Linked DNA regions of Canis lupus familiaris. The protein of the gene in region 2 purifies or fractionates together with the protein of the main gene of each other region. This does not show direct contact. Links are inferred from orthologs where the notes say so. Each region holds a gene or a part of one and is shown on either strand. Other genes may lie near its edges.

Region 1 (4,022 bases), on a different chromosome or scaffold from region 2:
GCAAAGTGCACCTGTTCCAGTACCCGTGCGCGCGCGCCAAGGTGAGGCCTGGCGGGCTGGGCTGCTGCGGCCGGGCGGGCGGGCGGGCGGGCGGGCCCGGGCTCGGCGCCGCCGCAGCTCCGTCTTGGTTCCCGCCCAGGCGCCCAGCCTCGTGTACGGCGGCCACGGCAGCCACGTGACCAGCGTCCGGTTCACGCACGACGACTCGCACCTCATCTCGCTGGGCGGCAAGGACGCCAGCATCTTCCAGTGGCGAGTGCTGGGCGCCGGGGGCGCGGTGCCAGCGCCCGCCACGCCCTCGCGAACCCCCTCGCTGTCCCCGGCCTCCTCTCTCGACGTCTGACCGCTGCGGGAGGGCACTCACCGGCCCGCGGCCCGGCTCCGCCCCATCCGCAGCCCCCGGGGCCGGGGGCCCACCTTTCCTGGACTCCGAGACATTCCTGGTCGCGCGTTTCCCTGGAGGGGGCGAGTGGCACCCCCCGCGCACACTGTAGAGACCCGCTGGCCGAGCCGGGCAGCCCCAGCCTGGGCCCCGACTCCCGCCGCCTGCTGAGGGGCAATAAACCAGAAGCAAAGTCGCCTCTCAGTCCTTTTGTGGGGCGCGGCTGGGTGCCTCCGGAGCCCTGGGGGGTGGCGATGAAGAAAAAGAGGAGTTTGGACCGAGTCGGGGAGCGTAGGCCGCTCATGCAAACGATAGGCAAAGCCGCTTGCAAATGACCCGGCGAAGCGCGAAGGCGCGCGAGTCTTTCGTGGCCTCAGGCGGAGGTACGGGGGCTCCGGCGAGGATAGAGTTAAGCCCAACTCTTCTCCCGCCCTCGGAGGAGGGGCCGAGCCGCGACGGAAATAGCCGAGCGCCCGGCCGCGGTTGGCCGGAGGGAGCCGAACCTCTTCCGGAAGCGGCCGATCTCTGGGCTCCGTCTCTCCGACCTGAGCCGAGCGCCGGGCCTTGTTCTCCGGATCGGCCGAAGGTGTTCCGGAAGGAGGCGAAGCCCGAGGCGGGCAGGGCAAGCCTCCTCGGCGGCCGGCAGAGTCCGACGTCTGCTGGGGCTCGGCGAGGGCGGAGGTGGGGGCGCCGGAGCCTGGCTCCGGTCCGGCGGGAGCCGAGCTCGTTCCGGAAGAGGCCGAGCGGACCGGCGCTGGCCTCGGCGTCCCGGGCGTGAGGCGGCGGCGGCGGCGGCGGCGGCGGCGGCGGCGACGGCGCGGGCCGGGATGAAACGAGACGGCTGAGGTGGCGGAGGTGCCGGCTGCGCGGGACCGACCGAGACTTCCGCGAAGCGCCAGCCCCGCGCTCGGGGCTTCGCCTCGCGCCGAGCCCTGCCACCGCGAGTCTCCCGGACCCCTTTGTGCGGCCGGAGGCGGCGGCGGGAACGGCCATGGCGGCCAACATGTACCGGGTGGGGGGTGAGTACCGGGCGCAGGGGCTGCAGGGGCCGGGGCCGGGGCCGGGGCCGGAGAGGCGCGGCGGCGGGCAGCGCGGGTCGCCGCGTCTGGGGCGGCGTGGCCCCGAGCGCGGACCGGAACCGGAACCGGGAGCTCGGGGAGCGAGGCTGCGGGGACGGCGACGCGGCGGGGCCCCGCGGCCTTCGGAGAGGCTGCGGGAGGCCGCGACGGCGCCGTCCTGGCCGCGTCGGGGGCCCCCGGGGTCGGGCGGCGGGGCCTGGGAGGGTGGTTCGGCTCGAGCTGACAGGGCAGGCAGGGGGCGGAGGGGGCAGAGCGGCCGCCGCCGGGAGGTGTCCTCCTCCCGGGCGTTATTGTGCGCCTGGATGCTAAAAGGTGAGGGTCAGCGATTGCTCATTTGGCCGAGACGGGTGCATCTCCCTGGCGGAGTTGTAGGGACGGCAGGGGACCCCCTGCTTCTTGCTCCTTCCTTAAGGCTCACTTTTGAGGGAAGGATTTGAGATTAGAACTTGGGTGGTGGTGGGGAAACCCCTTGTTTTCTCGTGGTCTCTCCACTTCCACATTTCAGCGTCCTCTCTACCTGGATCCTTATCCCCTTGGTCCTCTCAGGCCTCCTCTCTCTCCCACCCCGGTGCTGTCTTTCCCATCTCCCCCTCTGATCTTCCCGGTGCTTCCCCACCCCCTCCTACAGATTACGTCTATTTTGAGAACTCCTCCAGCAATCCTTACCTGGTTAGACGGATTGAGGAGCTCAACAAGGTGAGTGGAACAGAGAGAGTCCCACCCCTGTCCTGTCTGGCCTCCCCCCCTCCCCCCTCCGGGAGGGTCTTTTTCTTCTGAGGTCACTAACTTCAGGTGGAAGGCGGAGGCGGGGTGGAGGGGAACCAATCCTATCCTAAGCGCCCATTCATATTCATTCATTCATTCATTCATTCATTCATTCGGTGTATTCAGGAAAGGCTTTTGAGAGCTGGGTGGGAACCTTCTATTCTATCTCTCCTGGGCCAAGGAAAGGGAAAATCTGGAGGATAAAAAGTTTGGAAGTCTGTCCTTAAACGCCAAGTTTTATTCATAATCTTTTGGGTCTTTCTATTTATACCCCTTAGAGACTTATGCACTGTTGTTAGTCTCTTCTTTTTGTGTTTCCACTTTAAAATGACCAACTTTAACTGCTGTTTTTTTTTTTTTTTTTATCCTCTTAGACTGCAAATGGAAATGTGGAGGCAAAGGTTGTGTGTCTTTTCCGGCGAAGGGACATTTCTAGTAGCCTCAATAGTCTGGCTGATAGCAATGCCAGTGAGTGTCTTTGCACCCCCCCCCCCTCCACGCTCCCCCTCCCCATGATCTGAGGCCTGGGCATGTCCCTGCAGGTGTTTCCCCTGGTAGCATGCCCAAAGCAGGGGTGTGAGTTTGGGGGTGAGAAATGCCTGGTTTGCGGAGGGAGGCCTGTTTTTACACGTTGGGGTTGGAAGCAGGGTGGAGAGACCATGATAAGGAAAGCCAGAAAATGGCTTGTGTGTGTGTATCTGAATGATGGGTGTAAAAGAGATGATAGTATTTAAGTAGGGGATGAAGAAGAGCTTTAGAGAAGCAGGACCCTTGGGGGTCAGTTTTGGGTACCTTGGGACAATGGGTAGTGACTGTAAAGGTCAAGGTTGAAGAGGAAGAGCGTGTACTTGGAAGCCTGCATAACAAGGAAGCAGCCTAATTTTGCGATCACGAAGTAATGAGAATACATTGAAGGAAGAGAATGGGAAACTAGGAAACTTTTCTTGCCCTTTTTCCTCTTTCTCACCTCTTCTGTTTTGCTCCACTCCATTTTACATCTTTTCCTTTTGTGTTATCTTCCTTCTCTTTATGCTTTCATCTTCCTTTAAAAAAACTATTTCTTTATGTTTTCCTTAGTTTCTTTTTCCTTTCCTGCTTTGGCTTTCTTTCCTCTTCCTCTTGTTCCTCCTTCTGAAATTATCTTCCTTATTTCAGGCAGCTGTGGCCATGAAGGGGTTAACGAGGAGCTAGGCCTACCAAGTTCTCTGGCCCTCTGGGGTTTCCAGCCCCATCTGGCAGGGGCTGACCTTGGCCTTGTCCAATCAGAAGGGGTGGGGGGGGTGTGGTCCCCCCCTTGCCTTAGCACTGGGTTTCCGGAGCACACAGGCGAGGGGTGGAGCCTGCTGCACCCCACCCCCCCCTTCTCCCTGAGGTTGGGAACAATGCACCAATGAGCCTGGGCCTGTGGCTCTCCTGCCCCCTCCCGCTTTGGTTGGCCCTCAGCCAAGTTAACCCTTTCCACCAAGGTTTCAGGGCAAAGTTGCAGTGCCTGGGGAGGAAGGCACTGGCGCTGGCTTGAGAGGTACTGTCCTTGGAAGCCCCACAAACAATCATTAGTCAAGTGGACAGTGAAGAATAGTTAGGACTGCGAGATGTATAAGAGCAAAGAGACTCCTGAAATCTGAAAAGAACTAGTAAACACAACCTCGTGTGATGATTTTTCACCTTATTGGGTTTCTGGAACTCGGGCTGGTTTAGCAAGAGAGAGGAGTGTGATATTCTTGCTGGGCCTGAAGTGGGCAGATTTGTGCTTTATGAGTGGCATTTAAGCATTGGCACCTGGGTTTGGGATGCAT
Region 2 (3,957 bases):
CCGGGACGCGGGGCCATCCCCACGGCGCTCGCCTTCGGCCCCCTGCGCCGTGAGCCGGCGCCTTCCCCAGCGCAGCTCCGGGCCCCGTCACCCCCGATTCCCACCGGTCCCCCACGCAGAGACCCAGCCCAGGGACCTTCCCCCGCAAGTGTCCACCGACCGAAAATAGATCCCGAGCCTGCCCCCGAGCCCGCCCGCCTCGCCAAGTCCTCCCCTTTAAAGGGAGCCACCGGGTGACGCCGGGGGAGTTTGCGGAAGCGCCAACCGCGTTGGGGCCTTGGGCGGATCCCGTGATTGGAACCGGCCCCGCCCCCGGGTCCTCTTCCCCCATTGTGTGAGCGGCTCGGGCCCAGGCCCCGCCCCCTCGCCGCCTCCCTCCGGAGGCCCAACCCCTCCCCTTTTTTTCACCCCCCCCTTGGCTCATTTCCGGCCGCCGCTGCTACCGCTAGCCTGTAAGGAGGATTCGGCAGAGGGAAGAAACAACAGCCGCCATCTTGTTTGTGTGCTAGGCTGGGGGGGAGAGAGGGCGAGAGGGAGCGGGCGAGAGTGGGCAAGCGGGACGCCGGGCTGAGTGCGAACTGCTGGAGCCGGAGTGCGGAGGCGAGCCGGGCCGGAGAGAGGCGGCAGGGGCCGAGACAGTGGCAGGGGGCCCGGGGCGCACGGGCTGAGGCGACCCCAGCCCCCTCCCGTCCGCACACACCCCCACCGCGGCCCGGCAGCCGGGCCGGCGTCGACGCCTAGGGGGGACCATTACATAACCCCGCGCCCCGCGGCGCCTTCGCCCGCCGCCGAGGGCGGCCCCGAGCGGAGCCCCGGGGGGCGGGCGCTCCCGGCACCTGGCCGCCGGGGGTGGGGGCCGCAGCGGCGGCCGTAGTTATTTCCGTGCGGCGGGAGAGGAGGACGAAGGAGGCGAGCGCGGCGCGAGGAGAGGCCGCCTGCGCCGCCCGCCGGAGCGGGCCCTCCTCGGTGGGCTTGGCGTCGGCGCGGACGGGCGGGCGGGCGGGCGGCGCTGCTCGGCTCGGCCCGGCCCCCTCGGCCCTCCGGACCTGCGAGCTCCGCGCCCGGCGTCCTCGCCGCGCCTCCGCCGCCCGCCGCGCGATGTGAGGCGGCGGCGCCAGCCTGGCTCTCGGCTCGGGCGAGCTCTCTTCGGCCATTAGGGGCCGGTGCGGCGGCGGCGCGGAGCGCGGCGGCAGGAGGAGGGCTCGGAGGGTGGGGGCGCAGGTCCGGGAGGGGGCACCGGGAGGAGGTGAGTGTCTCTCGTCGCCTCCTCCTCTCCCCCCTTTTCGCCCCCGCCTCCTTGTGGCGATGAGAAGGAGGAGGACAGCGCCGAGGAGGAAGAGGCTGATGGCGGCGGCGGAGCTCCGAGAGACCTCGGCTGGGCAGGGGCCGGCCGCGGCGGGCCGGGGACTGCGCCTCTAGAGCCGCGAGTTCTCGGGAATTCGCCGCAGCGGACGCGCTCGGCGGGTTTGTGCTCCTGTGCCCTCCTCCGGGCCTGGGCGCAGGCCCGGCCCCTCGCACTTGCCCCTACCTTTTCTATCGAGTCCGCATCCCTCTTCGGCCACCGCGACCCAGCGAAGAGAAAAAGGAACTTCCCCCACCCCCCTCGGGGGCCGGCGGAGCCCCCCAAGCCCACCCCAGGCAGCGGGGCGGGGAGCCCTGGCCGGAGAAGAGATTTCCCGAGGATTCTCGTTTTCCTCGCCTGTATCTCCGAAAGAATTAAAAATGGCCGAGAATGTGGTGGAACCGGGGCCGCCTTCAGCCAAGCGGCCTAAACTCTCATCTCCGGCCCTCTCGGCGTCGGCCAGCGACGGCACAGGTTAGTCCCGGGAGCCCTGGCCTTCCACATCCCCCCTTGATCTTTTTTTTGCTTGGTGCACCGTTCTTCTTCCATTTTTTTTCTTCCCTTTTTTTTTTCCCCCCCTCCTCTCTTGTTAGTTTTCTGCTTCTTGATTAATTTTAAAGGTGTTTGAATGAGCTGGTCGAAGACGTCCAGTAGCCCAACCATTTTCTTTTGCTTCCTAATACATTCGTTGCAACACTATGTCATATCGATGTGTTCTGGAATTAGAGCTCTTGAGTGGTGCTATGGAAATAGCCTTTATTGTTGCTCCCATGCAGTTTAATTTTTGAAATGCCAGTGCATTTGTGTGTAAGGGCTTTTTATGCAATTTTACTTTGAATTTTTTTTTGTTGTTGAGAAATGAGGAATTGCGAATCCTTTCTCCTCTATTGCACTTACTCTGTTTTCTCTACTTTCCACTCTTCCTTTTCAAGGTTTTCTTTTTTTTTTTTTTTTGCACAAGATTTTCCTTTGAGCATGAAAATGTAAAAAAAAAAAATCATGATTTTATTTGTATGTATGTGTGATCCACGACTTCAGGTTTGACCTTAGGTTTAACGTCAAAGCCAAAATTTGGTTCGAATTATTTTACCTACCATTCCTAGCTTCCCCCCCCTCCCGTTTTTTTTGTTTTTTTTTTTTTATTTGCCTTAAGAATCAATATGGAGCGCAGTTCATTTTACATCTCCCATTTCTTTGGTGTGAGACCAAAATGTCTGAAACTCGGGTTTTAGGTTGAGAGAGAGCAGAGGTATTTTCTTTGCAGTTTGTAGTCACTTTCTCTTGGGGTGTGCGTGTGTGTGTGTGTGTAGATAACCGATGGTGTGGAGTTATGTACTTGGAAATCAAAATTAGGAGTGGTTAGGGTCCCAATCATGAACTGCATACATTAGTTGAACCGTATAAAAGTTTAAAATGTGCATTAGGTTCTGTATTTGTGTGTTTTTCTCTTTGTGCTTTAAACATATTTGGAGGTCCATAGTTCAGCGTAAAAAAGCTCTACCATTCTTAACTTCACTCAGTTGTGGACCAGCCCTTTTTGTCCAGGGAAATTCAGGGAGACTTTCCTCCATCATCCCCTTCTTATAATTAGTTTGGTGCTCTCCTGATGGCCCCCGACCTTCTCTTTTGCTGTCGTCGTTGTTTGAGGTGTCAGGATAATGAAGAGGAAGAATGGCTGGCCATCTGACAGTCCACAAGATATTCCCCCTCTACTACGGAGCATCTCTTTAACTCAACGTCATCTCTCCATCTGCCAGTGAGAGTGTATAATGGAGTTAAATGTATCCTCTGAGTTTGTAGAGAACTTCTAAAGCATGTTTCTAAGTAGGCTGCATTTCGGAGGGTGAAAATGTAAGGATATGGCAAATGCGTTGGATGCTTTGCTTTTTTAAGAAAAATGTGTCATGAGTTTAAGATAACCTGCAAAGATTGAGGATTTTTGCAGTTTTGTGCCTTTCTACTTCAGAATTGTAAAATTGGCAGTGCAAGAACTTTGATCTATCCTTATTCCTTGAACTTTCTTTGGTCTTTACAGATTTTTTTTTTCTCTTACGTGCCTTTCTTCCTCAGAACTATTAATGCATATCGAGTATCATATTCTTTTGCACTTAAAGTACTCAGAGCGGTTTTCAGATCACCTTTAAACATATTTCTGCCTGCAGGTTTTTGTGTTGTTTCTCTAATTTTTGTGAAATGTGGTAATGGATTTTACATTTTAGTTCACCGGAGACTTGAGATGCTGTAGAGAAAACTTCTTTAATGTGTTTCATTTTGAATACTCCTGATTTGAGTAGCTTATTCTTGGAGTGTACTGCAAGGCCTAAAAGCAAGACTGGGCTCTGTTCAGACACCTCTCTTCAGGTGCTCTCCTGCCTTCTCCATATTTGATCTGTGTACTTGGCAACTTTAACTCGTTTTAGTAATGTCTCACCTGTCTAGAACACAAAAACTATTTTGCTACTTGAAATATCTTTGGATAATTATAAGAGTCCTAAATGTATCAAGTGGGTTTTTAGAGTAAAATATCCTCAATATTGAGATGAGCTCAATTTTAATACTAAAAGTTTATCTTAGTATTAGTTACCTTTCTCTAAATTTTGTGATGAGAGCTGATC

What was found. The genes of interacting proteins can lie anywhere in the genome.
Region 1: the proteins of EP300 (region 2) and MTA2 purify together in Homo sapiens (affinity purification with mass spectrometry, with the first as the bait; 3 studies listed by BioGRID). This does not show direct contact. The link is inferred for Canis lupus familiaris from reciprocal best matches to the Homo sapiens genes EP300 and MTA2.

Annotation. Positions count from the first base shown.
Region 1 is NC_049239.1:54,555,937-54,559,958, forward strand, and holds the start of MTA2 (metastasis-associated protein MTA2), read left to right. Parts: upstream 1-1,222; 5' UTR 1,223-1,373; coding exon 1,374-1,401; intron 1,402-1,690; exon of another isoform or gene 1,691-1,763; coding exon of another isoform or gene 1,764-1,773; intron 1,774-2,089; coding exon 2,090-2,157; intron 2,158-2,532; exon of another isoform or gene 2,533-2,600; coding exon 2,601-2,694; exon of another isoform or gene 2,695-4,022. Other genes in the region: EML3 (echinoderm microtubule-associated protein-like 3), read left to right, coding at 21-41, 140-717. UniProt on the Homo sapiens protein: May function as a transcriptional coregulator. Acts as a component of the histone deacetylase NuRD complex which participates in the remodeling of chromatin.
Region 2 is NC_049231.1:25,111,950-25,115,906, reverse strand, and holds the start of EP300 (histone acetyltransferase p300), read left to right. Parts: upstream 1-1,157; 5' UTR 1,158-1,722; coding exon 1,723-1,816; intron 1,817-3,957. UniProt on the Homo sapiens protein: Functions as a histone acetyltransferase and regulates transcription via chromatin remodeling. Acetylates all four core histones in nucleosomes. Histone acetylation gives an epigenetic tag for transcriptional activation.